2 linked regions of the Rattus norvegicus genome follow. Each later gene encodes a partner of the first gene's protein in a complex. Links are inferred from orthologs where the notes say so. Each region holds a gene or a part of one and is shown on either strand. Other genes may lie near its edges.

Region 1 (2,526 bases):
TTCTCAAGAGAGCCACCTGCCTCTGCCTCTCAAGTGCTGGAATTAAAGGTGTGAGCCACCACCACCCAGATCAGTTTGTTTTTTTTTTTTTCTTTTTTCTTTTTTTCGGAGCTGGGGACTGAAAGTTTATTTTTTTAAGATTTACTTTATTTTTAATTATTTGTGTGGGTATGTGCACATACATGAAGACAGGTGCCCTTGAAGACCAGGGGCACTGTGTCCCCCTGGAGCAGGAGTGATATGGATTTGTCACCTCCTGACACGTGTGCTGGAAATTGAACCCAGCTCCTCTGGAAGAGCATCCAGTGCTCTTAACTGCTAGATCACCTCTCTAGCCCCCTTCCTTTTCCATAGTCTTAGTCTAGGCTAAACTTAGTCTAGGCTAAACTGGCCCAGGCAGGCCTCAAACTTATAGCAGTCCCCCTGCTTCATCTGGATGAAGTGGCTTACCATTACAAGTTTCGCAAGAGTTGTGTGGCCTTGTGCTTCCTACCATTTACCCATCCATCTAGACTGGCTTGGTCCTTCTTTATCCCAGTGCTGCTCTATCTGCTTTTATGTTTTCTGTTGCCCAGGACACTGAGGATGATCTTGTACCCCCCCCCCTCCATCCTCTTCCAAGCGCTGGGTTGCAAGCATTCACCCCCACACTGCCTCTGGGCACTGGGGATTAGACCTAGGGCTCCATGCATGCTGGGCAAGTACTCTACCAGGTGAGTCACCTTGCCAGTACCAGCTCCGGCTTTTAATCAGGAGCCTGTGAAAGCTCGGCTCCAACTCAGGACAGTGTTCTCATGCAGCCATGGTGTGTGCTCTGTTGCAGATGAGGTCTCCCACCAGCTCTCCGAAGCATACAGGAAGGAGCTCCTTTTGAAGCACACCATTGGCGCAGAGCTGGCCCATACTGTAGACCGCAACCTCAGCCTGACCTACCTGTCCATGTGGCTGCACCAGCCCTACATAGAGAGCGACAGCAAGCTGCAGCTAGAGAGCATGCTGCTGGAAACAGGGCACCGGGCCCTTTGACTCCCTGGCCACCTTGCCTGTGACCACGGTCTTGGAGCTCCAGACCACTGGCTGTTGTGCCTCAAGGGTCCTGGGGTCGCTCTCCCCACTGCTGCAGCTGCCCCACTGCTCCGTCCCAGAGATCCTGAAGCTCCAGTGACATAAACAATGGCTGAGGGCCGAGTTTTGTAAACCGGCGGACTTCACTGTTACATCCTGGAGACAGCCTGAGTTTCCTAGAAGCTACTACTTTGTACCTGTCCTCCATTTGTCTGTTTTGTGGTCCTGGAAATCAAATCCAGACTTCATACAAACTGAATATTCAACTGCTGGTCCACACTCCCAACCCTGTGCTTAAAATCTGAAGAGAATGTTTTAGTTCTGAAACTATCCCAGAAATACCAGACGTGTAAAGTCTCCTAAGTGGGGACAGAGAGATGGTTTAGCAGTTGAGAGCACTTGTGAACTTCTGGTTTCCCCTGGCAGCCACACATATTTGCATGTGCATGTGTGCAAATGCACATGCACCCACAGAGAAATAATCTTTTTAAATTTTAGTTTTACTTAGGTATTTGTGTATAGGCCACATGTACAGATGACCAGGGCAACCACAAATGGGGGTGGGGGTGGGGTCCTTGGAGCTAGAGTTACAAGAGGTTGTCGGCCACCTGATTTGGGTGTCAGAAACCAAACTCCAGTCAGTCCTCTGGAAAAACAGTTCATGCTCTTAAGTGCTCAGTCATTTCTCCTATAGCTGGAAATATATATATTTAATATATAAAATATATTAATAAAATATATTGAAATACACTGTTTTTAATCCAATAGAATTAATTGAGTATAGTGTCACAAAAATGAAAACCACTTACCAAAACTTGCTACTGCTTGCATGAAAAGATGAACAAGCCAGTGAGACGACCAATAACTGCAGCTTGTTTCCATCTGGGGCCTGGATGTGCTGTGTCTGTTTGGCTTTCTCTCAGCCATTAGCATACTGCCTAAGTCCATAGAGAACTAACATTCCTCAGGGAGAGCTGCCTGTATAGTGAGGTCAACTGGCCCTCAGGAACGACCACTTGTACTTCCTTCACTCCTTCCTGATGGGGGCGCACTAAGACCACTGTTCCCATCTGGGGGTGGGCACTCTTGGGCCACTGCGCCCATCTTTTGGGGAATACCCAAGACTACCCTGCTCCTTCTCTCGTGTCTGTGTGTATGGGCACACGAGCTACATTGCATCTGCAGTGGGTGTGGGGCCTTGCCTTCTGCCTTGATACAGAGCCTCTTGTTCACTGCTGTAAACACCGGGATACCTGGCTTGCAAGCTTGTGTTTCTCCTGTCTCAGCCTCTATCTCCTTGTAGATGCCATGGGGGTTACCTACACTTGTGCTGTGCTATGCTGCTTCTAGGGATCTGGACTCAGTTCATCAGGTTTACACAGTGAGCGCTGTGCCCTCTGCTGCTCCCTTTTCCCAGAGGACAAAGGTCCAGAGTTAGACACGTTTGCTTGAGACATGACC
Region 2 (3,133 bases), on another chromosome or scaffold:
GCAGTTAAGATGGCTCATTGGGTAGAGAGACTTGGTATTCAAGCCTGATGACCTGGGTTCATTCCCCAGGACCCATGTTTCTGGGTGGGAGGACAGAATGGACACCACAAAGTAGTCCTCTGATCTCCACACATGTGCTCTGGCATGTGCATGCCCTTCCCCCATACTAAATTAAAAAGAATTTATAAAGTGAGATTAGAATGTAGCTCAGTGGTAGACCGCTTTCCTAACATGTCTAAGGGTTTAAGTCCCCTCTGAAACAAAACCTCAAAATGGCAGTAGTGATTTGAGAAGCCTTACCCCCCTATCTTTTCTGGGATACCACCTAACTCCCTACTTTTTCTACAGAGCCACCCTCCTCAGGGTTCGCAACACCATCAGCAGCCACGTGGAGCAGGTGTTTCAGACCTATGAGCAGCATGCGGACGTGCTTGACATCGATACTCTCCTGAGGCCCTCGGTTGTGAGCCCCTCCGTGACTGACATGTTGGAGTGGCTGCAGGACATTGACAGACATTTTCGAAGCTCATATCCTTTCAGTGCTTCCCGACCTCCCAGAGCTGCCCTACAGGTTCAGACTTCACGGGTCAGCAGGCTGCATGATTTGCTGCAGTTCTCTTTAACGCTCAATCTTAGATTCTTCTTGCATTTTTTTTAGTAGTCATTTCTTACAGTTTATCTGCCAGACACTGCTGTAAGTGCTGAGAGCAGGCGTAGAAAAGTGAGTGTATGGTGTCGGATGTGAGCTAAGAATGAGGGAGGACGAGTGAGGGAAGGTGGGCCGTGACTTTAGTAGTGTGGTCCTGGCAGGAACCCATGAGACAGTGACATCCTGAGACAGTGATACTCACGGCATTCGAGCCATGTGGATATTCAGAAGAAGAGTGGTCCAAGCAGAGGGTACATGGAGTGAAGGCCTGGGTGGGAGCATGTCTGGTTCATGTAGGAACTGACCACGAGGCTGGTGGGGCAAGGGCAGGGTGTGAGGATAGTGACAGAAGCCCTTCCCCACCCCCCTTTTGTTTTTGAGAAAGAACTTGAAGGTTTTGGCTGTTACTCTGAAATCAGAGGTCTCAGAAGTTTTAAGCAGAACCACGTGGTCAAGGTCTATGCTTAACAGTGCTGGGCCATGTTCTCAAGAACAGTTGGCATGGTCGGGAACAAGCCCGAGAGCAGAAAATTAGCCACAGGTCTGCCTTCTCCATTCTTGTCCATGACTGTCCTCTGACCCTGGTTTTGCTCCCTTTACTACTGCTCCTGGCTCTGCGTCTCAGACTCCCATGGCCTCCAGCTGGCTCACTTAGTGAGCTACAAATTCAGAGCTGAGCATGCACCAGCAGTGCCCACTGCGTTACTGTCCTTCATGTTGCGACCAAGTATCCATCACGAAACAGGACAGACAGATTTGTTTCAGGCCATAACTGCGAGGATATGTCCATCATAGAGGGGAGGGCACAGACAGGAGCATATGCCACTGGTCATGCTGTGCCTGCATCGCTCAGGAAGCAGGAAGGGAGTGCTGGCTGCTGGGGCTCTGTTCACTTCCTCTCTGTTCATCCTCAACCCCAGCCCACGGAACAATACCACATTCAGAGGGGTCTTCCCACTTCAGTTCAACCTTTCTGGAGACACCAGCACTGACACAACCTGTATCGTGTTTCCATGGCGATTCTAAATCCAGTCAGGTTGACAGAGGAGATTGTTGCCTGATCTGGAAAGGTGGGGATGGCCATCCTCATTTCCCTGTTTTCTATCATAACTACAATATCATTCTAGGTGTGCTAGTGGTGGCCACTAACACTGGTTGGCTCCACTACCCTTTTGTTTTTAGCCACATGGCTGAGATGGACCACATTCAACAGTAATCCCGTAAGATCACATGATCTGGTGACACAAGCATCTTGATTTAAATACGTTCGTTTCTTTTTCTGAGCAGTCCTTAACTTCTGGGAAGGTATCTGAAGAGAAAGCACCTCCTCTCCTCCATCCACTGGGGAGACTTAGCCAGCATCCAAGCACTGCCCAAGGCCTGGGACCAAATTTCAGAAGATGAGTGCCAAACCCTTGTGTCAGGTACTGGTGTCCGTCAGTCCCATGCTGCCTCCCCCCCCCTCCCCCCAGGCTGGCCTCTTTGGAGGCGTTAGACACTCCCTACTGTACTTTGGGGCCTTGACAAACCTGATGCCTTGTACCTTGCTTCCTGTTCTAGATATCCTGTTGAGTGTCTCCTTCTTCCTGGAGGAAGCAGGAAGCCGTGCAGTATCTGGAGATCTGGAGCACCGCAGTTGAGGGCTGCCATTGTTACCCTAGGCTGTTTCTAATTGAGGGTCAGTATTGCTGCACCCTGACTCACTGCAATACCACTGCCTCCGGTAGAGGCCACTAGGACCTCTCCATGGTAGGACATGGCCGCTGCACCTGCGGCTCTGAGAAGTGAAGGGAGGCGGAGGAGACAGGAGAGGTGGTGCTGAGAAACAGGGTCCATCAAAGCAGGAAAGGGCAGAAGGCAAAGTTGTGTGGACGCTGCTGCCTATCATCTGAACCATCTTCTCTGGTTGGCCCAGGTCCTGGTCTAGTGCATGTCAGTATCTCAGTCCTTAATGGCTTAAAGATATGAGTGGGTCTGGGAATCTAGGGTTGGAGCAGTGTGGGGTGGGTGCGGGGGGCAGACTCAATTCCCTACAGACCCCCAAAAAGGGAGGGACTGAAGGAAAGGGAATGTTTACAATGTTTACTGCTTCACAGAAGCGCATCAAGCCAATTTCCACTTCCAGAGTCAGCCACCAGGGGGCGATGGTGCAGCATGAATGGTTCTGAATGCCCTGCTCTTGTTGCTGTTGAAAAGTTAAGGGCAGGCTGGGGAGCTTGGGTATCCCACCCAGGACTAGAGGCAAAGACAGGTGGATCTCTGTGATTTTGAGATTAATTTGGTCTACATAACTCCAGGCCAATGAAGGTCACAAACTGAGACTGTCTCAAAAAAGAAAAGAGAGGTACCTGAGGAATAGTGAGGCTCCCCAGATGACAGGGCTAAGGGGCCTCTCATTGGCCACATCCCTCTGAGTTTGGGGTGTCTGGCCAGGGAAGAGAATGCCGGCTGTGATCGCTGGTTGTTATAGTCCGCTCGACACAT

The links.
Region 2: the proteins of Cinp (region 1) and Airim are in contact, whole or in part, in a cryo-EM structure (PDB 8RHN), measured with the Homo sapiens proteins. The link is inferred for Rattus norvegicus from reciprocal best matches to the Homo sapiens genes CINP and AIRIM. Residues at the interface, in NP_116019.1 of Homo sapiens: Leu161, Leu162, Thr165, Glu169, Asp177, Leu178, Leu180, Ser181, Tyr182, Ser184, Met185, His188, Pro190, Tyr191, Val192, Glu193, Ser194; in NP_001289959.1 of Homo sapiens: Leu107, Gln110, Ala113, Ala114, Asn116, Leu117, Phe119, Val122, Ala124, Leu125, Phe128, Pro129, Asp130, Leu131, Arg134, Leu135, Lys138, Gln139, Ala142.

The regions. Positions count from the first base shown.
Region 1 is NC_086024.1:135,706,090-135,708,615, reverse strand, and holds the end of Cinp (cyclin-dependent kinase 2-interacting protein), read left to right. Parts: exon of another isoform or gene 1-823; coding exon 824-1,026; 3' UTR 1,027-1,825; downstream 1,826-2,526. UniProt on the Homo sapiens protein: Component of the DNA replication complex, which interacts with two kinases, CDK2 and CDC7, thereby providing a functional and physical link between CDK2 and CDC7 during firing of the origins of replication.
Region 2 is NC_086023.1:142,486,325-142,489,457, forward strand, and holds the end of Airim (ribosome biogenesis protein C1orf109 homolog), read left to right. Parts: intron 1-348; coding exon 349-528; coding exon of another isoform or gene 529-658; exon of another isoform or gene 659-1,954; coding exon 1,955-2,073; intron 2,074-2,209; coding exon 2,210-2,289; 3' UTR 2,290-2,369; downstream 2,370-3,133. UniProt on the Homo sapiens protein: Part of the 55LCC heterohexameric ATPase complex which is chromatin-associated and promotes replisome proteostasis to maintain replication fork progression and genome stability.